4 linked regions of the Lepisosteus oculatus genome follow. The protein of the gene in region 1 interacts with the protein of each later gene in a pairwise test. Links are inferred from orthologs where the notes say so. Each region holds a gene or a part of one and is shown in the gene's direction. Other genes may lie near its edges. The genes, in order: ube2e3, mul1, CCR4-NOT transcription complex subunit 4 and rnf167.

The links.
Region 2: the proteins of ube2e3 (region 1) and mul1 interact in a two-hybrid assay, tested with the Homo sapiens proteins (2 studies listed by BioGRID and IntAct). The link is inferred for Lepisosteus oculatus from reciprocal best matches to the Homo sapiens genes UBE2E3 and MUL1.
Region 3: the proteins of ube2e3 (region 1) and CCR4-NOT transcription complex subunit 4 interact in a two-hybrid assay, tested with the Homo sapiens proteins (3 studies listed by BioGRID and IntAct). The link is inferred for Lepisosteus oculatus from reciprocal best matches to the Homo sapiens genes UBE2E3 and CNOT4.
Region 4: the proteins of ube2e3 (region 1) and rnf167 interact in a two-hybrid assay, tested with the Homo sapiens proteins (2 studies listed by BioGRID and IntAct). The link is inferred for Lepisosteus oculatus from reciprocal best matches to the Homo sapiens genes UBE2E3 and RNF167.

What each region holds. Positions count from the first base shown.
Region 1 is NC_090707.1:18,945,549-18,952,711, reverse strand, and holds the start of ube2e3 (ubiquitin-conjugating enzyme E2 E3), read left to right. Parts: upstream 1-4,143; 5' UTR 4,144-4,252; exon of another isoform or gene 4,253-4,271; intron 4,272-5,444; exon of another isoform or gene 5,445-5,459; 5' UTR 5,460-5,466; coding exon 5,467-5,666; intron 5,667-6,966; coding exon 6,967-7,017; intron 7,018-7,163. UniProt on the Homo sapiens protein: Accepts ubiquitin from the E1 complex and catalyzes its covalent attachment to other proteins. In vitro catalyzes 'Lys-11'- and 'Lys-48'-, as well as 'Lys-63'-linked polyubiquitination.
Region 2 is NC_090720.1:10,745,009-10,752,746, reverse strand, and holds the start of mul1 (mitochondrial ubiquitin ligase activator of NFKB 1), read left to right. Parts: upstream 1-4,686; 5' UTR 4,687-4,952; intron 4,953-7,738. UniProt on the Homo sapiens protein: Exhibits weak E3 ubiquitin-protein ligase activity. E3 ubiquitin ligases accept ubiquitin from an E2 ubiquitin-conjugating enzyme in the form of a thioester and then directly transfer the ubiquitin to targeted substrates.
Region 3 is NC_090702.1:25,323,617-25,330,631, forward strand, and holds the start of CCR4-NOT transcription complex subunit 4, read left to right. Parts: upstream 1-3,871; 5' UTR 3,872-3,932; exon of another isoform or gene 3,933-4,103; intron 4,104-7,015. UniProt on the Homo sapiens protein: Has E3 ubiquitin ligase activity, promoting ubiquitination and degradation of target proteins. Involved in activation of the JAK/STAT pathway. Catalyzes ubiquitination of methylated RBM15.
Region 4 is NC_090698.1:10,553,217-10,561,044, forward strand, and holds the start of rnf167 (E3 ubiquitin-protein ligase RNF167), read left to right. Parts: upstream 1-4,690; 5' UTR 4,691-5,025; intron 5,026-5,136; exon of another isoform or gene 5,137-5,159; intron 5,160-7,828. Other genes in the region: polyunsaturated fatty acid lipoxygenase ALOX15B-like, read right to left, coding at 191-279, 404-674, 991-1,263.

The sequences.
Region 1 (7,163 bases):
TTATTTATAAGAGCTTTTCAACAAAGTCGAAGCACTGTACAATAGAATACTGTACAATAACAGAAGGAAAATGGGAAGAGAAAGCATAGCAAATTGACTGTGATATGAAGAGTAAAACTAAATTATATATTAAAAGCTTAAGTGAAAAGATAAGTCTTTAAGAGAGATTTGAAAATGTCGAGTTGCAGACTATCTAATGGATTTGTGAAATGAGTTCCATGGACATGGTGCTACACAAGACAAGGCTCTATCAGCCATTTGATGGAGTATGCTCATGCTATTAATCTTTAAAATAACATAAAGCTAGTCCATTCAAAATCTTCTGCGTAACAGGAAAAACCTTAAAGTCCAATCTAAGTTTTGGGGGGATTATGTGCTCATGTAGTGCTTTTTCTCAGCACACAAAGTGTAGGATTCTGGATTGGGCAACCTAAAGCCTCTTTAGGACCTTAGAAGGTCTTGATTTTTATCACCATTAACAACACCACGAACTTTCACTAACTTTGCAAAAATAACGTTGGGAGCCAACCTGTTTAGTGCAAAAGGAACCAGATGACACAAGTGGAACAATGAGAAGTGTATTTAAAACAGTTAACTGGAGACAGCTCTTTTACATGAACAATCTAGAGGGTCTGGAACAGGCTAAGACATGCTATTGAAACTGATACACTGATTTGTTTTGTTTGGATGAGCTCTAGATATCAATTACCTATTAAAAACATTTTTTTTTCATTAGTAATTGCCATGTACTACACAGTACTATTATCTCAGTGGAGGAAATTGCATTGGTTTAAAAAAATACATAGAGATTTCCAATTAATCAAAGATATGCCCCAATTGATTCGTTTTTTAAAATTACACACTGGAGCAGTCAAAAAACACTGCTCCATACTGAATGACGACATCAAAGAACACCATCAATTTATGTAATTTTCAATGTTCAGAAACAATGCAGTTCCAATTAAAAACACAAAAAAAACACTACAAAAATTGTTTAAGTTAGAGAGGTTATTTTCAACAGTTTAAGAAAGGAATCTAATCTGTATCTCAAAGTAAACCTCCCGAAGAGCACTGAGAAGAAAACACCTTCTACAAAGGTACGCCTGTCTGTCTTCAGAAATGGATTACCCTGCTGCTTCTATCAAACCTTTTGAAGATAACAGAGCCACTGCAATCAAACACAACTGCAGTTTACTAGAAGCAGGGATTTCAGACAAACTGGCAAAAACTTGCCATGATAAATCCTTAAGAAAGCCTACTGCCAGCAGCTGGCATTGCAAGCACACTTAAGAAAAAGAAAAGTCAGCTTCGAACTTGTGGACAGATTGAGCAGTAGGCCCTATAACTGGCACCAGGACTCAAACTGGGATGCCTGACAAACCTCCTCAGGAATGGTACAGGAAATGTAACGTGACAGGAAAGGAGGGATTTCTGTGGCAAAACCAATTACCTAATTTAAACATAAGAGAACACATTAAACTGAACTGAAATGCATGCCTGGGGAATCAAGGAAGAATATTACTGTCTCATGCAAAAAGGACATTGAGTGTCACGATTGCAGCCCCTCCCCCTTAAGAGCACTCCAGCTCTTTCACATTTGAGTTGATTTTGTGCACCTGCTCCCTGTTCCTGCCTCCCTACTAAAGCCAGACACTCACTGTGTTCCGGGCTCTTCATTGGTTTCCAGTACCAGCCGAGTCCGGGACCTGGAGTGCCAGGTCCCGTTCCCCCTTTTTCCCCCCGACCCTCCGCCGGATCCAGCTCCGGTTTTTAACTCCATTTGTCTTCGTTTTGAATGGACCACCCGGCTCTGGATATTTGCCTCATCAAGGATTTCCCTATGGACACTCCTTGGACTTTTTGCCTTGGACTTACCCCCCCAGAACACCAGTGCACCATGGACACGCCCCCTGTTTTCCTTCCAGCCCCCTTGCATACTTTCCCGGTTTTTCCTCACTCCTCCCTGGATTGTGTTGTCTGCATAGGGTCCTGAAAGAACGCATTAGTTACATTAAGACCAGTTAAATCAGTTAGAGCAGATTTAGAAAATTCCAGAAAATATTCTAACAGACCCACAAAACAGACTAAATACACTTACACCTGTGGGGTGGAGCAGTGGCTGTGGGATGGAACAGTGGCTCTGTGGCTAAGGATCTGTGCCTGTGACTGGAAGTTTGCCTGTTCAAATCCCGCAGCCGGCAGAGGAATCCTACTCTGTTGGGCCCCTGAGCAAGGCCCTTAACCCCAGCTGCTCCAGGGGCGCTGTACAATGGCTGACCCTGTGCTCTGACCCCAAGCTTCTCGCCCTGTCTGTGTGTCTGTTGTTTATGCAGAGCAAGTTGGGGTATGCGAAAAGATGAATTCCTAATGCAAGAAATTGTATAGGGCTAATAAAGCAACATTAAACATTATTACAAGCCTTTTCATCTGTTTTCTGGAATTTATTTTTTTTAATTTAAGAATTGGCCTGGGCCCTTTCTTCATCAGTTTGAGAACCACACTGTTTTCCTTTCAAAAGGAAAAACGGCATTCTTGTGTAGGAAACGACAAATTATTTCTGTAAGCTTCTCCAAATATGAGGTAAATGGTGAAACAAATAACTTATCTGGAATAAAATTTTAAACTATGCAACTTTAACACATAAAAACTCACATAAGTACAGTTCTTATTAAAAGCAAATGACTGTTATTAGAGCAACTGATGACAACATTTGTTATATTTGTCATTGTTATGTAAATCAAGCAAGAGGATTCCCGAGGATAACTGTAGAAAGACGCACATTTGTTCTTGACAACAAACGCCAAAACTATCTTTAACATATCCTTGATCGTGATGTCATCATTCCTGGAAAGCTTGGAGCACGGGCAAAGTTCAAGTTAGCGTGAAAGCCAGCTATGGAAGATCAATTTAAAACGTTTCACACGCGTTTTCTAATGTAATTATTTTTCTTGTAATCTGTCTTATTCAGTGAAACAAAATCAAGAAATGAACGTAAACATTTTTCTAATGTTGTGAGTTTTAAATGACACATTTTGATGATGATAATGAAAAACCTTAACTAAAGCAACTTCTTTAAAAACAACCTGGTGTTTACAGTATTCAGAACAAGTATCATTCATTTCATGGCTAGATAATGCTTCTCTCTCAAGCACAGGTGGTTTCTGTATCGCTTAACGTTCGGAGTGCGTAAATTCCCATGGTTAACAAAATGTTTGCAAATCATTCCAGGTGATTGCTTTTTGCACAGAGAAGGCACTTCATCGCATGTCTATTTTCCAGATTTATAATTGCTGTGATTCGTTTCTTCCTGGCTTATTGTGCATGAAGCAAATATTTTAGCGTCGTATTCGTTGAAAAAAAAAGAATGATTGCCCTTTTAGACGCCGCACTCGAGTCCAAACTATGGACACTGTTGATTCAAATCGTTTTTAATGTTGCTTGCATTTTAAGAGTCGCAATTTTGCTAAAATGTTTATCGGTCTTGAAAACATAAAAGACGAACCAGCCACAGTCTCATGGTTTATTCGAAACGTTAAAATGTAAATTATTTAGAACCATGACATATCCAGTTATTTTCTCCAAGAACGCATTACGACCTGATTTGCCATGCTTACCAAGGTTTCTTCTTACACGATTGTCCAGATGTTTTCAAGTTTCTTCGTAGTAATTACCCTTAACTGACTGGGCAGTTATAAGTCACTGAGGTAACTGGTGAACTTGCACCCTGATGTTGGAAAGTACAGAACTTTACTTAAGATTCCACATAGAATTTACACTCTGAAAAGTTTGGAACACAGCTAAATGAGAGCAGACACTTGTCCTTTCCCGGTCCTTTAATTTATTGCATAACAAAACAACAAAAAAACATTGTCCTTGGCACTTATGAATTCCTGTAGATGCCCTCTGTTTTTAATAAATCCTAAGTGCGCGCAGGATTCTCAATTCAGAATGAACTCGCAGCAGTGGCAGCCAGAACCATAATCGCTGAGTCGGCTGTTTTGGCACATTATCCTGCGGAGGGAGTGATCCAGAAGAGCCGTCCTCCCTCCGCCTCACAGCTTTGCTCCGAGTCCCGAGACTCGTGCGCCGTGCAGCGCCACCTGCTGAAATCAAGCTGGAATTACAACCCCTCTTCTCCTTCCGATTCTCCAATGTTCACAGCTCGGCCGGAGCCTGTCGTCTTCCCGGCTCCATTTCCACAGGATTTTTACCACTCGTAACCGCCCCAGATCAGGACAGGATCGCGCTAAAGGTAAAGAAGAAGCTTTCAGGTATAGGAAGAGTCCGGGGTAGGGGGAGAATTATCGTCCTTTCTTAGTATTTTTAGCAGCTGTCGCTAGAGAGGGAGCTAGAAACTGACTTCACGCATCAGTTGGTACACCATGCTGATACTGGAGTGCCTCCTACCATAACAAACCTCTTCGTTCTACAAAGGATTTAAAGCTCGGGTCCGCAAATTTTACTTTGCTCCCAGTCCGCGGCAAATTAGTTATATTTTCTTATTCGTCGGTAAAATGACGCTCCTTCCTTAAAGTGAGCGAAACATAAAAAGGTTTTATTTAGCCCCCCTCGCTGTGAAAAGGTGCAATTATGCTTTCCTTGCAGCTCTCGAATCCGACCAATTTCTGTGTGCTGCTGGCGATGTAAATAGCCGTGTTTTTCCGTGTCATTTTCTCAAAACATTCCAGCCTCAATGCTTTTAGAGGCAAAGAAAAAAGTCCACTCGCACTAAACAATAGCAATATGGAAAGAGAATTAGCTATGTCTCTGTAAAGCATGTAAAATACTTCATTACTGTCAACGATGCAAATGCACGGTGGGTAGTGTAAATATTTACAAGCTGTTTATTGACTGTTAATTTTTGCGGCACATAATCATTTTAAATATTGAAATAGATGTTTATTTACCGTTTCTGATCAACGCTTGGAAACGCGTGCATCGCCTGCCCTTCAGAAGGAAAACACAGTACTAAAATAACGTGCATACCTCAGAATTCTACACAATAATGCACAGTTCTTGCGGGTCCCGCACGAATTCGTGTATAGAGTTCTGTTCATTCTTACTAAAAACACACGTCCTACAATAGTTAATGGATAAGTTTCTAGATGATTACAGCTGCACAGCTACATATAGGTTGCACGAGTTACAATCCCAACAGTTGCCTAACAATAAACATTATTAATTTGGGGCTGGTAATGATCAGTACGCTTGGAAATAACCTACCTTTCAAAGCTTGCAATGGCATTTGTGTGTATTTGAAAAGTTTATCAGCAATCAGTAATGCAAGTAGTGCATTCAGGAAATCAATAGGCAAGTAGCGCTGTTTATAAACATATCCAAAAGAGAAACGGTGCAGAAAACACAGATTAAGCACTTATGTGCTGTTAGTGAAGTACGAGGTGGGGAGGGAGGGTGGTGTAGCAACTCCAGTCAAAGTTCAGAAGTTCTTGTTGTTCAAGGGGGAAAATGTCTAGTGACAGACAACGTTCAGACGACGAAAGTCCGAGCACCAGCAGTGGCAGTTCTGATGCGGATCAGAGGGATCCGCCGGTACCAGAACCTGAGGAGCAAGAAGAGAGAAAACAGCCCACAGCAACTCAGCAGCAAAAGAAAAATACCAAATTATCCAGTAAAACAACAGCTAAACTGTCCACCAGTGCTAAAAGGTAACATTTGTTTCGTTTTTTTTTTGTAAATCGGCGTGTTTGCGGTTTCCTGAAGGTTAATGTTTTCTCACATATTTGTAAGAGAGGCCACCCTTACGGTCCATCATTAGGTCTAATTTAATATAAATGATGTTCTAGACATATAATGTTTTTAAGTTTTTAAACAATGTCTTAACGCATTCTTTTAGACAAATTGCTTTATGAAAGATGATTTTCTAGTTGATGGTTTCTTTATTTAAGGGTAGGTTTTGAGTTTGTAACTCACTGAAGGCTTCATAAACCCAACTTCTTAACATCTCCAGTCAGTTCTTACTGCTTAATCATGAGTAAAAGGAGTCACTTTTTTACTATGTTCATACATCAGATATATATTGAATCATTCTTTTTTTCTTTCGCTAATAATTTATGGTTGGAAGGATCAAGTTCTGTATTAAGGTAAAAGGATGCACTGCTTATTGGACTAAACAGGTGTGTCGGCAAATGAGTTTGACATTTCTATGCTGTTGGTGTGACTTTGAAGTCTTGGGTTTTCATTTCCATATGTGTTTTTAACAACTTTCCTATTGTTACTTTTGTGTGCCTCTAAGTCAAAAGGAGGTAGAACTGTAAGACCTCATTGAATAGACGAGTGACGCGATATGATCACCTTTGATTTTGGGTGACATTAGGCTGCTGTTTACAATAAAAGCACAGGCAGGGACAAATAGCATGCAGTGGAGGAAGATCGGACAGCTGCTGCAGCAAGAAAATCACGGCTTTAGATTAAGAACACTTGGAGTCATACTTTAAATCAAGAAAAAAAATATTTTAAATGAAGTTTACAAAATGTGGGGAATAGAGCATAGAAAAACATTAAAATGAAAAAAAGTGGAATATTTTCATTTTACCTGCATGCTCTTAAGTTAGTAACAGTATTAAAGCATTGGTTTAAAGCCCTTGTCAAATATGCCTGAGCAACCCCCCTCCCTTTCTGTCTCATTTGCATATAAGCTTTAAAAGAAAATCTTTTGTGCAGGAAGTGGCTGGAACCTGAAGATTGCGGTCTTGTCAGATGCCTATAAAAGAAACCTGTATGGTGGTGTGAAGAGTGGCATTATAAGGTGAAGAGAAGGCGAGAAATAAATGCTGCAAAGTTTTCCTGTTATGGGATTCGGGTTATGCCTCTGAGAACAAAGAGGAAGCAGCCATGTTAGCTTTACTGAAGGGAAAGCCAGTCTTGCATTTAACTGCGTGGTGGTAGAGGGCAGTGTAATTCCCCGACTACTTTAAATTCTCAGAGTCTTTTCTCATTTTCTCACAGAATTCAGAAGGAGCTAGCTGAAATTACTCTGGATCCTCCGCCTAACTGCAGGTATGTAGAGTAGTTTGCGTTTGTTTTCTTTGGGGGCTAATTTGACTGACAAATGTTTATTAAAATCAAAAACTGGTAGTTGCCATTTGATGTTTTTAGAGGTTTTGATATATTAAGCAGTTTATGAGATGCCAGTAGATATTTTC
Region 2 (7,738 bases), on another chromosome or scaffold:
ATTTAAACTTTTGTTTGTGTGCTGCAATATAGCCTATAACTAAATAAAATGCATGCTACATGTTCTTATATGTGTGATGTTTTCCATAACTGTAATTTTAATTAAGTTATTGAAGTGCTCCAATGGTACAGTAGTCACAGTCTACAGTATATACCCACTGCCCATTTGGCTGTTTTTATGAAGTACATTATGCAGGCTTGAACATCAGTTTTATTATTCAAGAACGAACGGACAGAGACAAGATTACTGCAGTCTGGCAGGGAGACATCATCTCTTTTAATTGAATATATAAATTGAGGTAGTAGCAACTAGGGACGGTACAACCTGTTAAATATTTTAAACAGGGCTTCCATTTCAGTTCTGTGCCTTTAAAATGCATTCAGTGTTTTGAAGGCGTTTTAATACTACATCTGCACAGGAAGTGAAACTGAAAATAAATGCAAACAGATCTTGGCAGACATTAAGCTGCAAAGTATGAATGTGGGCATGTTGGTGGGTGTACATTATGCATGATATAGGTCATTTTGCACCATTTAAGTATTTTTTCTGATGCATAATAATTGTGAGTGTCTACTAGAGTATTAATTGTGAGGGCTTTTAATCAAAATCATTCAATTATGTTACGATCACATTTTTCTCTTTAAAAATGCAGCTTCCCCACTTCCTGTTCTGATTTATCTAATCAAAAACACATTAGATAAATATTTAAAAGTTTTCAAAGTGGTACTCCTATTGCTTGAAGATTTTTTTTTTAATATGACCTTAACATTTGAAATATTACCTGCGTCTGTGGCTGGAAGGTTGCTGGTTCCTATCCCGCGGCCGGCAGAGGAATCCTACTCCATTGGGCCCCTGAGCAAGGCCCTTAACCCCAGCTGCTCCAGGGGCGCCGTATAAATGGCTGACCCTGCGCTCTGACCCCCAGCTTCTCTCCCAGTCTGTGTGTCTCATGGAGAGCAAGCTGGGGTATGCGAAAAGACAAATTCCTAATACAAGAAATTGTATATGACCAATAAAGGGATCTTAACAGTCCATCCCTATGAACTGGACATACAGTACAGTATTGTATCTAGTAAAAGCCATTGAAATTACGATAATGAATAAAAGAAACATAGTAATTGCTTTGATGTAACCACAATGTAAAAAAAAACATTTTAAAACATGTCTTATTAAAAGGAAAATCATCACATAATCCTGTGGCAATGATCTATACCTCAAAAAGCATTGCAGGCAAGATATATTATCTGTTAACACATAACATTGTGTTAATTACTGTTAAAGTCAAAGTACTGGATTTTCTATTTTCTTAACCTTTAATTTCATAGATGTTCTCATTCACCAAGATATTAAAATGAGAACGTGCTCTTCAGAGTAAATAAAATCTTCTTATGTCACAGCCATGCAGTTTGGGTTATATGCTCACCTCAGTCTCATGTTATTTGAAATGTTTTGCACAGTGTACTTGTCATCAGTTTATGCATTTGATTCAGGAAAATTTCAATTCTTTGCCATCATATAGCATTGAAAAGTTTCAGCAAGCTGGACCTTAATTGGGAAGAAAAAAACAATTAAATCACAAAGCACTTTTGGACAAACAATACATGATGTATTGTGGATACACAGTTTATGGTACAGATCACATATAACAGATCATAAATCACAGCATTGTCCGAAGCCAATTTGTTTGATTACAAATCCAATCAGCTTGGTAGGGGCTAAAATTAACATTTAATTCACAAGTTAATTAACAATTCAATTAACATATGGTCGGTGTTTCAAAAGACATATTAGCACTAAGACTCGAAAGGTGAAATACAGCACAACACACTAGCGAAAATCAAGTCTAAATAAATATAATTTATTGATCATTTCAAAGGATAGCAACAGGGTTAATTCCATCTTACAAAGACAGCTTAAAGGATCAGAAAATCATCCGTCTTGAACAAAAGAAACTACAGTAAAAAATAATGGAGAATTCATCCATCCTTTTTCCAACCACTTTATCCAAAGCAGGATGGCGATGGAGCCAGAGCCTATCCCAGCAGGCACCAGGTGCAAGGCAGGATGGGACACAAATGTACAAAATAGTAAGTAGTCTCTAGCAAAGAAAAAACTTACATCCAGTGTGAGAGTTGTGATTTCTATTTGGTGTTTTTTACCATGGGAACATTTGATACTTGCAAATTTCTAGACATTATTCTCATAATCTATTAAGCTGCCATTATTATCTTGCACAATTCAATTCCTAACAACTGTAAAGACCTTCTAGTACATAAATATGTAATGTAGATCAATGTAAAAATAGTTAAAATATCATATTTACAACAGTCAAGCAAAATAGATTAATTTAAATACTGTATTACAATGTGCAGAAATAACAAACTGGGATGAGTAACAAGCTTTGAAAGTACTGTCTATATTAAATGAAAGAAGCTCAGTACAATGTATCACAGCAATACAGGGAATAATTGTACATAAAAGTGTGGTTTGAACAGGTAAATTGAGGAAACACCAGAGGGTAACTGAGACCTGATGTTTTTAGGTACCTGTTTCCATGAGTGCAGGATAGGGAAGAGAAGGAACAATGATTGTAATAGATAACTGAGGGACCAACAGAATATCAGTGGAAAGGATGAGAGGATGCATATTGAGCATCATTAATTGGTCACCTAGGGAAGAACTTCAGAAAGAACAGCATAGTTCTGTTTGCTCATTTTCTTAGAACCAAATCTGAAGAACACCAAGGGCTCCAAAAAGCCCAAAGACACTCAATATGTTCGCAGTATGTTCTCCCCTCTGGTCCCCTCCAGAGCGCATTGCCTTTTGTAAACAGGTGGGAAGTTATTCTGAGAGGCTTGGCTTTGTTTCTGCGATTTGTTTACTTCAGTGATTTAACTTGACAGCTAAATGTTGACTCTCCGTGTGGGGGAAAAAAAAAATTATATGAATTGAAATATTTAATATGAATTAAAATGAATTAAAATGATTTAAATGCTGCATTTGTTTGCTAAGTAATTTCAGGTTTATTTATCACTCATTTGTTTTGCTTCCCCAGATTTTAAGGAATCGGATGACGGATCACTTACACAGGACAACAACTATAGCTGCTAACATAACTGTCACAGAAGACATATAATCCTGAATACAATCATTAGGAGGCTATAACAGTAACAGCGTGAGTCAGAGTCACCAAGCTGTGTCATTACAGCTTCTACTTCTGTTTCAGTATGGCCCTCTACACATCACCAGGGATGAGGTTTTCTGAATATTCGAATGGCAAACTGGACTAAGGGTATAATTTTCCTGAGCAATCACGAATATTTGCAATAGAGACTACAATGTTCCATTGAAATCTCTGTAAGGAAACAACACTGTTGTAGTGGTGGTACTGTAATGCTACTGGGGCCATTCATGTCCACCCAAAGAGTTAGTTTATGATTGATAGTGCTTTCGCTGCACAGAATCATGGTATGCTGAGACCTAAGCTCAGCCCATTGGTGCCTGATGATGGTGAGACATGGCGTTACCATAGTAGCAGCACCTGCACTGCATGTCAAAGTGCTAAATTGTCTGGTGGCAGTAAGCAGGTGTTGGGCTTTTGCAGGGTGTATCTTAATTGTTTTGGCAGCCATAGTTGTGATTTCGCTTGAATCATCTCATTTGATTAGTTGATTAAGTACCTTCTAAGGGTAAGTGGTGCTTCTAGAATGCAGTGATCGTGGGTTGAGGTGCATCATGATACCTTCATCTGAGCAGATACACAGTGTCCTTTGCACATGCAAATTCAGAAGTAAACATTACATTCCACACGTAATCGGGAGATAATGAGGAATACAGAAAGGGAAACTTGGGCCGCAAGGGGTTTATCAACGTGCATTGCTCAATTGATCACTAGGGTTGACTATACATATACCTTCTCTTTCTAAAAGTGTTTTGGTATGCTGTCATTTCAGGAGAAATGCTTCAGTTATGGGTGGCACAGTGGTTAATAGTGCTGCCTCACAGTCTAGGGCTCTGGGCTCAAGTCCAGACCTGGGGTGCTGTCTGTGTGGAGTTTTTTATGCTCTTCTCGAGTTTCTTCCCACTGTCCAAAGACATAATGGTAGGTTAATTGACTTCTGGGAAAATTGGCTCCAGTGTGAGTGTGTGGGTGTCTGTGTGTCCGTCTGTCCTGTGATGGAGTGGTGTCTCATCCAGGACATACCCTGCCTTGCACTTGTTGCTTGTGTGGGTAGACTCCAGCTGCCCCCCCTGACCCTGAATTGGGAGAAGAAGTTAGAGAATGGACTGATGAATGCTCCAGTTATATAATGATATAGTGAACTATAACTGGCAGGCTATTAATGTGGTAAAGCACAGAATATTAGTGAAACTTTAAATATACTTTGAAAAAAAATGCTGAAGCATTCAAACTAAGCCCCTTGTGCACTGAGGCCTTTTTTGAGAAGAAGAAAACCTATCGCATCTATCCCATTGTTGGGGTGTGACAGGTAATTATTACTATAGAGAGAAAACTATGTGATGTCTTAGATAGGTCAAAGGCTTCTGAGCACAACAAAGAATTATTCAGTTTATAAGGAACTAAAGATGTAGGCAGGATAATATAAAAAGCGGTTTTCTGATTCAATGTCGCCATCTGCCGCTTGCGGGCTGTTCAGATAATCGCTCTCAGCAATTCAGGTTCCTTGGACGGTCGTTATTATCTATCCAGGGTGCGGGGCGGTTTTTACGTGGGCCTGTGGTTGAATAAAGTAAATCTTTAAGTTAATATTCGAGTCACGGAGCCTAATATTGTTAGAATATTAATACTCAGTGAATATTCCGATTCATAGACGAAATATGTTTGTCTTCTTCGTAAAGATATTCTTTGTAACGGATGCCAAAAGACCAAATTAGAAGCCCTAAAGTTAGCTTGAAAAGTTACGGAGATTGTAGCCACTTGGACCAGGAAGGTAAGAAGAATCTTCCTTTGACATACTACAAATAAATTGAAGATTTTGCATCTGGCCGTGATTCCTAAATGTAATTTTCCGTGTAATTCGTGTTTTTTAAGCAATTGCAGCTCCCCGTTGACGCTGTGTTTACGTAGCTAAACAGGAAGTCGCCTAAAACGTCCACAAATTGACCTACTGTAAACACGGCACGTTTCTAAGTTAAAAATGTTACAGTATATAAGCAGTAAGCACAATGTTACAAATTGTGATTTTTATTTATTGATTGCATGTATGTTCTCGGCGTTAGAATAGCTAAAGTCAACACAAGCACCGGAAATGGAGGTTTTAAATCCATCACAGTTTCAACGACGTAAAATTAAACTAATATAAAGCTTGAGGTCTGCAATTATATGAATACCAATAAAAACGAGATTTTCGTTTCGTGATTCGTGGTTAACGTCGACACGCTAAGTTATTGCTTTCGTAGCATTGTCGGAATGCTATTTTTGCAGTACGTTTATTACAGCCAGGGTTGAGTAGAAAAGCTACCACATATGTTAAGGAAGTTAATAAAAACGAAAATATAGACTAACATGGGCTCCTTGTCACAAAAGGAAGCCATAATTCCATGCTTACGACTTTTCTACAACCTATTGGATGCATTTAAAAAATATTTTGCTCTCTAACCAGATAATGTCCATAAGGAAAAATAAATATGTAGCTACTGTATGTGATAGAAGTCAACCCAGTGGCCTGTACAGTATATTTCCTAGATGATAATAATTCTTCACAGAGAACAGAGTGATGAAGCCAGTTAATGGATGGGGATCATTAGGAGACCATAACTGGTAAAAGCCAGGGGGAAATTTGAGCAGGACACCTGGGTAACACCCCTACTCTTTGAGAAATGCACTGGGGTTTTTTACTGACCATGAAGAGTCGGGACGTCAGTTTTTTCTCATCTGAAGGACAGCACCTTTTTTATCGACTCCTCATCTCTATACTGGGGTATTAGGACCCACACAAACACAAACCTTAGCTTTCCCATCCGGGTACTGGCCAGGCTCACACCTGCTGGTTTCAGTGGGCTGCCATTCGTGAGTTGTAGAGTGATATAGCTGCTAGCTGTCTGACTTTGTTAAAGCAGTAGTGATTTTAATTTTGTTAATCTAAGTGATCTAAATCAGATAGTTTTAAATGTGTTTTTTCTTTGCATTTGATTGATAAAAAATAGAAGTTTTTTTTTCATGTGCAGAGCTTCCAGCGAATCAGCTATTCTTAGTTTTTTTTAATAGGACTAACAAAGGAGCTTCAATTAATTGCAGTACTGAAGACCCTTAGAAAATATAAAGGACCTGTGTTCAGGCTCAGAAAGTCCTCAGGAAAACACTCCCAGGACTGAATTTGTTAAATTTGGAAAAATATTTCTGTTGTAGAAAAGGATCATTTTCCTTAAGCTTTCCAGAGAACTTGAGAGCCCTACCCTGGAGTTCTGTATCCAGCCTGTTGCAGTCTGACTATCCTGGAAAATGACTGACCTTGTTATATTCCAAGCCAGCAGTAGATTGTTTCCGAGTAATTGCCGTGCAACAAGAAAAGCTATGTTTTAGGTTTTAAATTACCCATTCATCATGTATATTTCGCTTGTATAGAGCAATTCGACACAATTCTCGTGAATGGCAGATCTGTATTATGTTTCTTTTATTTTTTATCTTGTGGAATTGTCTGTGAAGAAGCTTGATATTATTGGCAGTAGTACTTCTTTGTGCCACTTGGTGGCAGTGTGTATCATGAAACTATGCGATTGTACATAACCTCTTTAAAATATGAATACTTTTATAATTAAATATCAGCTAGCAAGGAAAGTGATGCAAAATTGTATAAAACAGGTCCAGGTGAGCCCCAATCCAATATGTCTTATCTTCCACCCTATTTAATGAGATTCCAAAGCCTGGGGCTATGATATTGATCAATTAAACATATCATTTACACAATTAAGAGAACTTTAGTATTTGAAAACTGCCTGATCCAAATGATTTTAACTGTTCATTTAGTTGAAATATTAATAAATTAATGATTTTAGGATCACCTATAAGGTATTAAAAGGGTAAATCACATGGTGGCAGTTTCCTCCTCTTTATTCTAAATTCCTGTGTTTCACAAAAGTAGTTAAAAACTGTGAATGTACACTTTTTTCTCCAGTTCTAATTCTGATGTTATGCTGTTGGAGTATGTTAGGTGTATGTAGTAACAGTGCTTTACAGATCTATTTAGACGTACTGTTTCCCGGTACTTCACGAAAAACCAAAGATTAACATTTAATAATGAAATAGCTTGCATGCTATTTACTGATAAACAGAAATAAAACTTTATGATTAATATGTGTCCATCTATTGCCTTTGGTTGCATCACTTTGTTCTGGAGGGGTGTATCATATCATATCATAGGGTATCATATCTGAATTTTCCTCTTCTACACATTGCATAAACTGTTAAAAGCATTTTATAGTAAGTTGATGAGTAATTGCTTGTTCTGCACACAGTGTAGTTACTCAGTGTTGTAGCCTGCCTGGTTGAGAGGAAACTATTCTAATCATTAGCTAGCAGAATGATGTTGCAAAATAATTAAAGAAGTTTACAGTCTGTACTCTCAAAAGCTATAGCAGTTATAAATTACACTTAGTCTAATTCTTTTATCTTTGACAAACAGTAATCTGATCAGATTAGGCTCTTGGCCAACTTCCTTTGCTGTGTTAAATTAGATTTCTGAGGCTGCATTGATGGCATCTCTTGTTGCAGTTAAAA
Region 3 (7,015 bases), on another chromosome or scaffold:
AAGTTGTGAATCAACTTTGGTGAAATTTGGTGAATTTGAGCAAAGCCTCCACCTCTCCCTCTGCTGGGCTGGTAAATTGCCTGCAGTGCCTGTAGATAAATGCCTTGACGGTTGTGAATGCTATAGAGATGTACTTGGCAGAACTGTGTCTCCATCCTTATTTATTTCTATTTACATTAAATGAGTGTCTCACGAAAACTACTACAAACTAATATAAACTAATATAATTTCATGAAAATATCTGAACTGTAATGCTGTATGTTCCCCAGAGAGAAAAGGTGATAACACCTGTGTCCCTTCTCATCTATTTGTGAACACAGATTGCACAATGCCTGTAGTTGCATTGGGTTGCCTGGGCAACGAAACACTACTCTAGGTTCCATGATGCCTTGTGGTGTCACTCTTCAGAAGAGTGTAAGTCCAGTAAGTTCCAGTCTAGGTCTGTATTACAACTGTGCTTTGCAAAGCTACCCAGTGCATACAGTTGGTGAATTTCACCATCTGGAAGGCACAAAAAAGCAGCAACAACTCTATTTCCATGTTGTGGGCGATGTGCTTGAAACTCAATGAGCACCTTTAAACTAGTCAGTGACAGCTACAGCATATGAACAATTAAGAACACTTGGTCAAGCTTACATTGATCTGCAGCTATGTGTGCAACAGAAACTGGCTTTTGCAAAGCCTGATCCATGTTGGGCATAATCTCAGAGAACAAGAGCTAATATTTTATAAGAATGGTGAACAGGATGACATTTTATATCAGTGACATTTTTCTCCCAATCTACAAGGCAGTCTGAATTTCTTCACAAACTGTGAAGCGAAGCAGAAAGGCTCTGACTGAATGTTTTGAAAGTGAGGTGTAAAATCTTGCAGTTTGAAATGCTACTGCTCCTTTTCCTTAGCCTAAGGGTTTCTGATTAGGCTTAATGGTGTAAAGTAGAAAATATCTAAACAGTGACTTTTTTAAAGTAACAGAGCTATTGTTTAACCTGCTTCAAGCCAAGCTGAATGATATTGTATTTTTTATTCCACTGATTTGCCAAAGAGCTGGGTAATTTTGGAAAGAGGTTTTGGAGTTCAGTATACATTAAATCAAGGTAGGAAAGTGTGAGACAAAAAAGTGCAGATGACAAAACATGCAAGTACCTATTTTTGAAATAATTGATAACATCACTGAACAGTTCACTGTTAGATCAAAGAAGTGTAAAACGAGAACTAAATCCAAAAAGGTTTACAGAATTCCAAACAGTTCCTCCATGATGCAATGAAATCTCAGGAAGCATCATATCCCACCTTTGTGACCGCAGCTGGCTCCGCGAAAAACTGCATGATATATACAACTCTAGTCTGCAAAGGAAAGAGTTTGACCAGCACAAAATAATGCACAGCTGGTCTTCCAAAATAGCTTCTCTGAAGTTAACTAACAACCTTAATACTCATGATCCCCTACTGTATGATTACAATCAGAAGATTTTTTTCAACTTTGAAGCAAACAAAACTCATCACATGTAATGCTCAGGACTGCGAAAGCTCTTCAGGATCAGCTCTAAGGACAACCGAAAAGGAGCTGCACAGCTGCACAGCACAGTTTCTAGTTTAATCACTGAGAAGCTCCCTAAAAAAGATAAATGAATGTATTCTCAATTGCAATTGAAGTATAGTAACAGATTCATAATATTTTATTGCATTTTTTCATTTCTCCTTTTTTTGGTATTGTGAAATACTCAGGGTATGCCAGTTGAAGACACACTTGTAAGAAGTAAGAATAGTATTTGTCAGACACATTACAGTTAGACTCTAATTGGTGTAAAACAATTGTACTTGTTAGACAGGATCAGCAGCAGAAACGTCTGCTGTTCCCCCCTTCCCAAGAGAAGAATGAGCAAGGCGTTGTGCAATTGGATGCCATTGCTAGTGAGAAAAATAAAAGAAAAGGAATCAGCAATGTCAGCATGCACAGGCCAAAAATTACTCAATAACATAGTCACGTAATAGGAGGATGGGGGGCTGCGGGGAGGCTACTGTATAAAGGTATTCAGAGGTTTAGAGTTGTAAAAGATCATCCAGGAAGAGGATGGAAGGTAATAGGTTAGAAGTGTATTGATATAGATGGTTACCATTCAGCAAGCAGAGGCTGAGCATCACAACATGAAAAACATGACTTAATATACAAGGACAAATACACATTTTGTACTAACTCAACAAACAATAAGAAAACACTCTAGCGCATAAAAGTTGTAAAAAAAGTTCTTTTTAGAGCGCATCATTTCTATTGTCACCTTTTCAACAACGTTTCAACAAACGTTTTTATCTCTATGAGTCCCAATGGAGATCTAACTGTACCAGGGACGTCAAAAAGAGGATCATGCATACCATTTCTTCTAGGACTGTTTACAACCCAGACAGGCCCCTCCTCATTCATGAGCCATTATGTCACTCAGAAGGTTGTGATGGGTGACACCACAAGGCATCGTGTAAAGCCTCCGGACTAGTAAATCTTCTGCTGGCTGTGCCTTCTGGACAGGAATCATCATTAACGTTACCTAACAACAGCATCGGGACTTTGCTTGTGCACAAAGGAAAAAATTAAAAGATAAAGAAGATTTCCATTTCCATCAGATTTCCTCATTTCCATCATTCTCAACAGCTGGAAATGAGGAAACGAAGCAGCTGTAAAATACTACGCAAAAACTAAAATACAGGATCATGTAGCTTAATTCTATGTCTATTACGGAGTTCGACTATTTGTACTGTTATCGGTCTTATCCTTATCTTATACGCCACTGACTTTGTCATTTTCTGTGTTGTCTTGAGCAAAGAAACTACATGTATGTACTTTACAGTGTTGCTACGACAGGTGTAGTAGCCATACGGCTCAAAGTAGAAACACCGGTGAGAAACACGGCTGGAAAACGGTGATGTGTACCGGTGTCGAATAGTATTCCAATTCGACCAAAATTGTTTCTGTTGTGATAACGATCCTTATTTAATAAATGTACACTAAAGTGATATTCTTCTTTTCAGAAGATGTCGCTGGGGGTTATGTTGCATTAGACAAGGTGAATCTTTCCCCCTTCTATAGGGGTATGTAAAGGTTCTGATAAACGTCACACTAAAGTTAAATTATACCGTATTTGTGGTTAATATTCATGTGGGGGCGATTGTTTTTTGACGGCGTTTCAACACTAAAGGTAGAAAATAAATAACATTTTTGTTTAAAAATTAAGCTTTTCTTTTAAAATATTTTCTTGTTACAACTTAATGTTTCAAATTAAGATTTTAAATTAAGATTCAATTTCCGATTAAAAATCGTAATTAGGAGTAAAAAATAAACTTAATTTAACATAGTCTGAAGATTTAAAATGTGTTAAGCAACCTAATGTCTGAGCTTCTAAATTATTTTTAATTGTTCAAAAACATGTCATAAAAACTTTTAAATTCTAAGTCGGATGGAATGGGCTTCGGATAGTTTCTCAGTCGCACAAGAAGTTCCGATATGACTACATTTCCCAATTACATCAGAGAAAGGGCACGTCAGAGAAGTAGAAAAATCACCCCTCCCCCATGTGTAACAATTTTCTCTGTTGAGCTAGAGCATCTTGGGATTTGTAGTACTTAAAATGAGCAAATTATGTATTTGTGCTATTGAGGTGTATTTCAAGTTGAATGTTCTTAAAATTATGGTTTTGTTTATATGATGCTTTATTGATACGACACTATACAGAAATAATAAACCTTAAGATTTAATCAAATTTGCTTCAATGTGTTTTTACCTAAAACTACATTAACCACATGCCCCGAGAGACCAGCAGGCGCGCACACTCACTACGATGTGAATGTTCAACTCCCCCCCCCCCCCCCTCCTCCCTAGTCCAATGTAAGATGGTGGCTAGAAGGTGCTGCTGCAACATACAGAGAGGCTGAAAGAAAAGGCAAGGCATTTGCTCAACAAATCAAATCCAAACTGAACAAAAAAAAAACGCAGAAAGAATTCAAGGTGCCTGCTAACACAATTCTGGGCAGTTCAGAAAGATAATCAATCCCCGCCCCATTTGATCTGAATATACCTTTGGAGGAGTCTCAGAGAGCCATAGAGAGACAGGGTGAGTATCCCACAAACTATCACCATAAACTAGGATTCTGGGATAGGCTAGTGGAAGATATGTATATGTTTCTATAAAAATCCATCTTTCAGTAGATTCCCACCCTTTCTCTTTGGCTCCTAGTTATGGGAAGGAAGCAGCGTCAATGTCTGTGTGGAAGTGTCTTCTGTGTTGGGATCCGATTGGAGGGAGAGTCCGCAGGCTTTGCCGGGGCTGTACAGGCCGCACTGCTGCGAGTGCAAAACGCCTCTTGTGTTTTTCACTTTAGATATTTTGCTACACCCTTGCTTTAAAAGAGGCACTGTGCCGCAACGCATCATAATCGGGTTGTACATGAAATGAAATATCCATGCCATGTGATTTTTTCAGATTTCGCGTTCAGTGGAAACGCAGGATGCACTTGACCGGCTTTTTGATATTGCGAGCGCAAAACATCACAATTTGGGGTGTGTAATGATTGAGATCAGACACTCACAGGGCTTGCGTGGAGTAAAAGAAAAGGCAACATATCCCTTGGTTAAGAGGCTAATTGTAAATAAAAGGGATATGTTTATTTAAGCTAAATCTCCCACTTTTTACCACTGGTAATACGCCAATGCTTTCGTAATGTGTCGTAGCTACAAAATATTATCAGGAGTGAAATTGTCCTGTGGTCTAAGACTTCTAGAAGAGTTGACCGGCAAACTGTGCCATAATGGTTACGCTGTGCTATAATATATTCCAGCAGATTTAATTTTAATTACGAACTCAGGGGAATGCGTTGTTTTCTAGAAGGAAGTCACCGAAGTGTTCAATTCCATTAAATCATAAGTTTAACATTTCCTCTTCCTTATTTAAAGGTACATTACGTTATAAATTGAGGACCAGTCGTGAGACGTATCGTGTTGGTCTGTTTGTTGCGTTGTTAATCATGGACAGTTTTAAGTCAGTTGCCTTTTTTCTAAATAAATGTTCAAACCTATAAACCTATAAATGGTAGGATAACATTATGCATGCATTTCCAGTAGTACTTTAAAAAGATTAGCATAGCTAGTAACATTGTATTGTGAAAACAGGGATTTGCACTATAAATGCTTGGGAAGGAGTTTTAAAATGCAGTGAAAACTGCACAATGATAGGTATATTTTGTTTTTCTGGGATGCTAGGATATATATATATATGCATATGCTCTTCGGGTCAAGTTGGAAGTAAAATGATTTACAAAAAGATCAGGAATGATGATTGTGTTCCTCCCTATTATTATATTTCCCTGAATAGATAAACTGCAGGTCTTCAATCCGTGTGGTTTTCTTTTCAGTGTTGTTCAGTATTGTTGGGAACGGCTGTCTTTAATGTGGAAGTGCCAGAAAAGCTATATCCAGCTGGAGGGGTTGTCTTTTCAATGGAGGGTGTCTCAAGTGAAGCAGAGTTTTAGTTGTGTGTATGATGTGCACAGAAAATTGACTGTAAACAAGTGATAAAGAGTTCACACGTTGCCAGTGGTGTGTGTCACCTCCACAATTAAAGACAAATGACAGCATCTTATCGATATGTCCCAAGGTGGTTGAGTAGAAGCAGGTGATGCCAGAAAGCTATGAATCAGGAAGTCATCAGCATGTTTAAGGTCAGCCTGAGGAAACATGTATGTATCCAGGATAGATGCAAAACGAAATGTCTTAAGGCAGTTGGTTATTGAAGTTACAAAAATATGAAATAATTTGCCTACAAAGCCTTAGTGCTCCCAGGTTAGGGCACAGAGAGTAAAGCCAGGACAGTGCATATGCGCTCCATGTCTGGTACATCTATTACACCTCATGTGTCTGCAAATGAGTGATAAAGGCTAAGTGCTTCTGTAGTTTCTCACAGTGGTAACATGAACATTTCTTGTTTTAGGCAATTAAAATGGCCCATAATATTGGTATGTGATATTTGTGGTGGCCACTTTTTTCCCCCATTATCCTGAAAACCTTTCTGCGGTGTCTTGTGTGTTATCACAAAGCTCACTGCATAATATATTCAAAAGTCAGAAGAACGGGTTAGTTTCTCTTCAGTCTTGTCTCGGAATTGATAAATAGATATCTTTAAACAGCTAACCATCTCTTCAAAAACATAGACGTTGGCAAATGGCATCGTTGTGTTTTCCTCTGTGCTGTTTGGTAGGTTAGGATACAAAGATATGAGAAGTTGGATGTTAGAATTTGTATGACTGGTCGTTGTGTTCATTATGTTTTCATCATGTTCTCTGTGTTTCTCGTGTAGTTTCAAAATGTCTTTAATTTTGTTTGCTGATGTCTATTGTCCAAAACCGGGAAAACGGAATGCATATTTATTTTTGGTACCTGTTATGATCTACCTGCAAACGATAAATCAGTAAGGACCAAGGTAATGTACAATTACCTTGCATATTTAAAGCATATTTAACAGACTGTTAAGTAACTGCAAAAGTTGTCTGTTTTCTTTTGTGTATTTTGGAGTCAGGAGTCTCTGAACCACTTCAGTGTTAAAAGGCTCAGCTTTTAGGCCTGAGTAATGTGAGATGTTGCGGTAAAGTTGACCAAAACCACAGAAATTAAAATTCGCTGGTTTTTAGACATTTAAGCAACATTTAAGAATCTCTACACCATTTCAATGCATCTCTTTCAGTTTTTGAGAAATTGTATCTACTTTAATTACACTTTATAAGCTATCTTGCTTCTAGGAAATATGGAGAGTGCCAACCTTAGCTAATAGCTGTGGCTTTTCTGCCTTTAAAAGTATCTACATAATTAAAATGTTTTTTTTGGTTACTGGAAAATGTCCTAATTTGAAAGTTTTCCAGTCATTTTTTACCCATTTATTATAAAGTGCCTACTACCATCACAGCATTCCAAGTGTTTCTTCAAAAATGGCTTTCAAACTGAAATCACCAATTCAGTGACACTAACCAGCTTCAC
Region 4 (7,828 bases), on another chromosome or scaffold:
TTCCCCCCCAACTCTGGTGAACTGCTCGAGGCAACAGCAGACCTGGCTCATGCCCGTTTGCCCATCAACACTTGAGATTGTGCAGATAGGGAAGGAAGAAACCAAAGTGGGAAAGGGGCGAACCTCTGGCCAGATCACCACTTCCATAGTCGGACATTTTAAACTTCACTTCACGCCCCACCGTAGATCAGACCCACCTGTACAGATTATGGCATAACTCCAGCTCTCCAGTTCTCTGCTGTATCAATATGGGATGCTGGTCCTCAAACACCTTCTTGGCTTAAAAAAAAAAGCATAAAAAGCTTAAAACCAGTCTAGAGCTTCTGGTGTCCCCTACATCCCTCTGATCACAACCCTACAGCCAGACGCAAGATTTCCAGGCTTAAGCACGAGAAACCCTGACCTTTGCCCTCCCTCAGCTCCACAGCCCATTTGTCCGACACCCAGCGGTAGCAGGGGAAGAGGACGGTCTCCCCGCTGGGGGTGGTGACCTCCACCTTGGAGCAGAACCAGTCGTCGTCCGGCAGGAAGAAGCCCTGCTCCTTGTCCAGGCGCACGAACAGGAGGTCACCCAGCGGGTCAGGGGCGGAGACTGCCAGCTCCATGACCTGCGGCAAATGACACCCCAGTGGGTTAGAGTGCGCTGGACAGCTCTCTGACCGGGCAGGCAAGACCTGCAGATAAAGGCCAGTACATAGTGAACACGCATCTGCTGGAGTAAGAGTACAGTCTAACACACCACAGAGCTGTTCTTACAAGAACAGGGGGTCTTAATACCAGCAGGGCAGAGCCTTCCTGAACAGACACAGGAGAAGAACCAAGTCTCATCTATCCCCAGGCAAGAGGAGACCGGATATTTTGGTCATCAATGGTATTTTAAGCCACACTATCATGATCTAAGCCCACTCATCCAGACTTGATCTCCGCAAGCCAGAGTGCTATATGAAGTCCCCCTCCAACACCACCTCCACAGGCATTTCCCCTCCTCACCATGCCAGAGGACAGGTCCTGGCCCTCAGTGGAGAGCACAGTGCGCTCGCTCCTGTCCTCGGACCCAACCAGCGTGATGAAGACCCGGTCGAAGGTGCCGGAGTGCACCATGTCACCTGTGGTCACGGTCACCTTGTACGTTTCCATCCTGCTGCTGCTGAAAGACCTCAGCGACAAGAGCATTAATCCCCCCCATCTGTGAGCTTTTATTAAAGGGTCCCACTTAGAACTCACCCTCCACCACTCTCTGTGTAAAGCATCTCTCTTCCCCATATAAACAAGCCTTTCTAACCTCAAACGGCTTCCTCAGCCACAGAATCTGATGCTAGCATTGGAAAGAAGAATGTTGTCTTTTACACAGAGGGCTGCAGGAGTCCAGGGCATGGGGTATCATTCATTGTTGTAGGGGCTTACAATAAAATGAATGAAAATAAACATTTCAAAGGAAGAGTCACTCAAGCCCATGCCCTCCCAGGATCATAGGTGAAGAAGGCATCTATCAGTCTAGATCAGCCCATCCACTAGCACACCTGCAGAAGCTCAGGGGCAGCCAGCCAGCAGAGGAGCTGTGAGCATCGCATCGCTGGCACACGAGCACCTGTACAGACTTAGACACAGAGAGCTCAAAAGTAACCAAGGAGAACGTAAGCATACCCACCTACAGTTCATCCACCCCCACCACAAAGCTGGAGGCCAGCAGCTTCCCTACAAACCAAACCACAACACAAACAAACTGAAAAACCTGCTCTCAATCTGCTTTATAAATGTGCTTCACCCGCCCAGCTGTGTCAGACCCACCTGGACCCAATTAGCACCTGATTGTGCCCGTGATGTCATCATTCCCACGCTGACCTGTAGACAAACAGCCCTAATGAGGATCTAAGTGCAATTATCTCACAGGGAAGTGGGGGATTGAAGCTGACCTCTTGCATGCTGTTATGACTCAACGAGCTGACCAGGCATTATGTATGATGTATTTACCTTGTAATTTGGACCATCTGCACTTTGCACTATGTTTATCCTGTCTACAATGTCTTTGTCAGTGTCCTGTCTGCCTGTATTTTCACCTTGGACGAGGAGGAACGATATTTCCTTCCACTGTGTACTTGTATACAGCTGGAGTAAATAAGCGTGAACGTGAGGCACTCACGAGGGGGTCGAGGAGCCTTCTTCAGCTGTGTCACGTTGTGTCTCTTTTGCTTGGAATAACAGGTTTGCCTGTTCCTTTGCAGCCCATGCATACTTACGCATCTCCCTCCTCCAACTTTTGTGTGTGTGTATGCATGCATGCATGCGCGCGCGTGCATATATGTCCACGTGTGTTTATGTGTGTGCATCTGTGCAAGGGTGTTTATGTGCTCATGTAGCTGTGAGTGTGTATGTGTGCACGACTCAGACACAACACTGAGCTCGGAAGGGAGTGAGCACCAGCCAGCGTGGCTGACTCAGGTCAGATGGGCAGCAGGCCAGGTGGACACAGGAAAGGACAGAGAGAACTGCTGACCACAAGGTCAGACTGAAACCAGTTAACCCAGGACACAGACCGCAAAGACCTGGTTCACCCCAAGACAGCAGATGCAATAATTAGAACAAGAATCAGATCTCTAGCCCAGTTTTATTGAGGGCAGCGAGTCCAGCGGCCAGCAGGGGGCAGTGCAGCTGAGCTGGCAGCTCCTGCCAGAAGTGCTCCAACTGTTTCAGTGGTGCTTCCTGGTCCTCCTCCTCCTCCTCCTCTGGCGCTTCACACTGGACCTCCTGACTCGCCTCCTCCTGCGCACTGGACGGGACGCTCGTCTTCGCCTCTTGGCCATGTCTGCGGTCTGCCCGAGAGGCGGCGCTGTGCCCTTTTTAAAGCCTCCGGGAACAGGCGCTGGGCGGGTGCCGGCTACGTCTCGCGTGAGATCACGGGGCCGCCCCTGTTACCTGACGATGACGTCACCGCGCGTGGCCTTCACGAGTTTTTCAGGGATTGACACGCGCTAAACGCACAGCACCAAAGGCAATTTATTTACCAAATTGAATACAATTTGTTTTCATAGAGAACATTAACAAGAATGAAAAATACTAATAAATAATAAGGAATTCGTTTTTTATTATCCGCTCGTTTTCCAACTGATTTATCCAACACTGTGGCGCACATTATTATTATTATTATTATTATTATTATTATTATTATTATTATTATTGTTGTTGTTGTTGTTATTATTATTAGCCTTTATTTGTCGTATGTACATATACATTAGAATTCTTATTCGCGCCGATCTCTCGGCACATGCTCGGTCCAGCAGATGGCACAGTACGACAGACAACTGTAGTACAGCCGTGTGCGTGGACAGTACATTACAAAACGGTACAGAATAGTTATAGTATGTACGGACTATCAACAGAGCAATAACTACAAACAGAGCAAAAGTCTCTCGTTTGACAGAACTGTCTCGCCTGTAGCTCTATTAGTAGTACTAGTTCTATTAAAAAGAGCCCCGATATGAGGAGTTTTTCCAAGCACAGTAAAATAACCCAGCACGTTGCGCCACAATGTTAGATGCGGAAAGGCGAACGGACTCTCTCTGCCCGCTTGCCGGGGTGGGGGTATCTGTTCAAGGACCGCTCCGAGATGTTCCTCTTTCCTTTTGGTCTTGTTTGGAGATCTGGCGAGTCCGTGAATAAACACATCATGCCAGGAAAGGCTATTTCGTTTTGTACAGGTCAGGGCTTCAAGGCTCTTCTGCAGCGTTGTCCGGTGCTTGTAATGCGAGAATCTCGCCACTAGAGGTCGCGGAAAACCGATCTCTTCAGATCGATAACAATACCGTAATGGAGCAAAACACCTCGACCAGCCTGGATTGTTTCACACTCGTACATCACTACTGCCATGTCTCTGTACGCCTTCCGCAGGGTATGGATAAATCAGTACTTCAGGGAGGAGAGCCGTAGGCTCGTGAAAAGACCCCCCCTCCTCCGCCTGGTCCTGATATCTGGCCCCCGTGTGTGCGAGAGCAGCACAGCTGTAGTGGACAGCACGCGTCTGGGGATCCCCGCAGGAAGAGCTGTCCACAGAGCCAGAGGGGCAGGCGGGCGCTCCGAAATAACAGCTTATTATTTCACTGAGACACGCAGCCCCCGCGGAGGCTGAGCACGCAAGTAACTTAGACAAATGAGCCAGGTCTGACGCACCATATTGATCGCACTTAGTAGGTCGCCGAATATCACGGTTAGCGACAGCCAGGCGATGGCAGATGCGATCTACTGATCGATGATATATTGGGCAAATGCCTGTAACCAAGGCGATTTACAACCACCCGCTCGTTAGTAAATAAACAAAGCCGTATGAAAAACAGAAACCCAGTACCATAATATACTTTCGCCCATTTTGACGGTGAGGCTAAATCTGTTTTAATATAGCTGCTCTGTCTTTCTGGAGGGTATGAGTCCAACACAGAGACACGGAAAGGGGGAATTTAGGACAGACACTGGTAGCTGAACTTGCGTGTTTTTAAGGCAGTGGAGCGGAGTCCACACGGGGAGACCATGCAAACTCCCCACCCACGGCCACTCAAGATCAGAAATGAAACGGGGAGCAATGTCAGCCTCTGTCTGCTGGATCAGCGCGAGAGAGCGCGAGGGGGGGTGATTGCCGACCGATCTGTCTACGGGTCCACGCGGGGTGAGGGGGCGGAAGTGATCTCCATTCTCACCGGCTTCCCCCGAAAGGGTTAACGGGCGTCCAGATAACGCGAGGCCCGGGATGTGGGCGCCTCCATCTTGGATTAGGCCAGGAAATCCAGACACAGAGATCCGTCGCCTGTAGCTACGGCCCTGCTAGCTAGCTAACGAGCGAAACAGAGATGGGGGGGATGTGAAATCTTACGTAAACACACATCGTACTTTCACACAGGAAAGGCTATTTTCCGAAACAAGCACGCACGGCAGACAACTGGAAGTTTTTTCCCCGCAAAAACCTTCAAAATAATACGGGAAAAGCGAGACCGAAACAGATTTGTCGACTTCAAACGACTCGACGACTGTAGTTGAAAGGTAAGATCCGAAACCGGAAGAAATGTATTTTTATGGTCAGCACAATTATTATTGTGGCGATGTGCACGGACTGCTCTGTCGAATGTTTTAATTCTGGTTGCACACAAAAAAACAACAACTCTTCAGTCTTGAAGGTGCGGTACTTTATTTTAGTCCCTGCAAAACGAAAAAAGTAACACTCTTAACTTAGGTAGCTAGATCATTGACTTAATATTAATTTTTAACATTATTTTGAACGCTCTGGGTAGCCTGCCTATGTGTGATGCATACCACTGCGCAATCGACTGGCCGTGTTGAGCAAAAGGGTTATCAAAAAGTAAACAGGCTAGGGGCTTTTTAAAAGTGGGTTTTCCGGTTCTGGACAAGATTAGAGACTTTGTTTACACCGCGGTTTGATGTAGGAGCCGTGCGAATGCATGTTAGCTGATAAGGTAAAGCCAGCTATTTGTGTAAAATGTGACTTATTGTTCACATTTTGTCCTAGCAGCTCGGTTGCGAGAAGTTGATAAGGGGGTGACTGTTCTTGTGTTTGTTTTTCTAACTGTGACACAGGGCACATTCTAGAAGAACATAAAGTGTCCGACGAGAGCAGCGCCGTTCGGTTAGTCCTGATCGTTTGGTTTTCTGAACAGCCACCCGGGTCCGCGGTGATCACTGGAAGTCTGGCTTCTGTCACTGTAGGGTCTTTGCTGTTAGTGACATTATTACAGTCCAGGTCACTGTGGGGTCCTTATTGTTGGTGACATTATTACAGTCCAGGTCACTGTGGGGTCCTTATTGTAGGTGACATTATTACAGTCCAGGTCACTGTGGGGTCCTTATTGTAGGTGACATTATTACAGTCCAGGTCACTGTGGGGTCCTTATTGTAGGTGACATTATTACATTACGGGTCACTGTGGGGTCTTTACTGTTAGTAATATCACAGCCCGGGGCACTGTGGGGTCTTTGCTGATAGTATTATAATTATAGTACAGGTCACTGTGAGGTCTTTACTGTTAGTATAATTATCATGGTATAAGTCAGATAAAGCTAACAACATCCAAAATGTGTTGTGTTGGCCCTGTGTTCAAAGATGCATCAGGTTGTCAGTGTTGTGATCATAAAATGTCAGTGTTGTGATCATAAAGATGCTTGGATGTGGTGTGCACTAGACAGGAGTGAATGAACTGAGAGAAACGCTGCGTGTGAAGAGTTTGTGAGCGATCACTAACTCTGGAGTAAACTTTAACAGTGAATTCTGGGATTCGGCTTTGATTCTGAGTGGAGAAGGGTTAACTGCAGTGTCCCTGGACGCACGGTGGACAGGTGGGATCAGTAGCCCTGATCATGGGGCAGGCCATCCCTTGGCCAGTCTCCTTTCTGTAACAGCACAGGCAGCAGTGCTCTGCAGATGGCGAATGGGAGGTGCTTCTTTACACCAAGTGTGGTGGGTGTCTGGAACAGGCTGGGCTGTTCAAGCAGGTTCCTGGCAGAGCCAAAGTGGCCTCTTCTCGCCTGCGGCCTTCCGTGTGTTTTCGTGTTGGGGGGGGAAACAGGTCTAGCAGGGCTGCACCCTGATCTTCCTCCTGTGGTAAAGAGACACCGGCAGGAGAATTAGGTGCCAGATTTGTCTGAAAGGTATTTATACAGCAGTTGCCTCAGGACATGTATTAACAGAGTACTTTCACAGTGTGAAAGTGTGTTAGAGACCGGAAACCTCTGTCCCATCAAGCCACCCATTGACTCGAGAGCTGAGTGAACCCACGGCACCCCAGCTTTTACACATGGGCTCCCAGTCATGGTCCTGTAGGACCCCACACACACCTGCTGGTTTTCATTCCAGCTAAATTGTAACCTTAATTGTGCTGACAAGTTGGTAGATGGGAACACTTGCAAGTTTTTTGAAGGGTTGCTCACAGAATTCATGGGTGAATAGGTGACTTCCAATATATTTTAGAGCTGAAAACGGAGGAACAGTTCGAATCAGTACTTTTATTTATTCAGTCAAGGGGTCGATTGTGTCACGGAGAGCTCAGCTGTGATTAGACCCAGTGTGTGGACCTCCAGAACCAGGACTGGGATCCGCCGCAGGTCCAGGAAGCTGGAATTCTGTGTCTTCTGATTAATGAGGTCTGCTGTCACTTGGAATGGGTCTGCTCCCGTGTGCCGGCACTACACGCCCTTCTGGGCACTCTTGGGAATCTGCCCTGATGCCTCCGAAGCTCCTCGGATCCTCACTGGCAAGGTGGTTTGTCAACATCCAGAAGGATGACGGCAGATCCAGGACGCATGTCCGACTGGGGAAGGAACTGGGCGTTCAGACAGCGTGCAGTGGGCGCAGCTCTGATGGTGTGATCAGGGCAGCTGCGGTGGCGTCCCAGTCAAAGTCCGAGCCGGTGCAGAACTGATGGGGAAGGAGCTCTGGGGACCCCGACTCCCCCGAGGGAGCCCTAGAGTCGAAGGGACGGGGCACGGAGAGGGCGAGGCGCCAGGCCCAGGCCCTGCTGCTGTGGGCCTTTCCTTCCGTCTCGGCGAGCTTCTGTGTTTTGAAAGTCACCATGAAGTACGTAACGTCATGTGAAGTGTCAAAGTGAAATTCCTGGGACTCTTTCGCTTCCAGTAAGTGACCTTGTGAAAGAGGAAGGGCTCAGTGCACTCTGGGCTCGAGGCCAGCTGCAGCCAGACATGTTACGCTCTGACTCTGCACTGCAGCCAGATGCGGCGCTGGCCTGATGGGAGCAGAATGACCTCTGATCTCGCACCTGGGCACGCCATGCTCTGACTGCAGGAGAATGACCTCTGACCCTATACCTGGACACGCC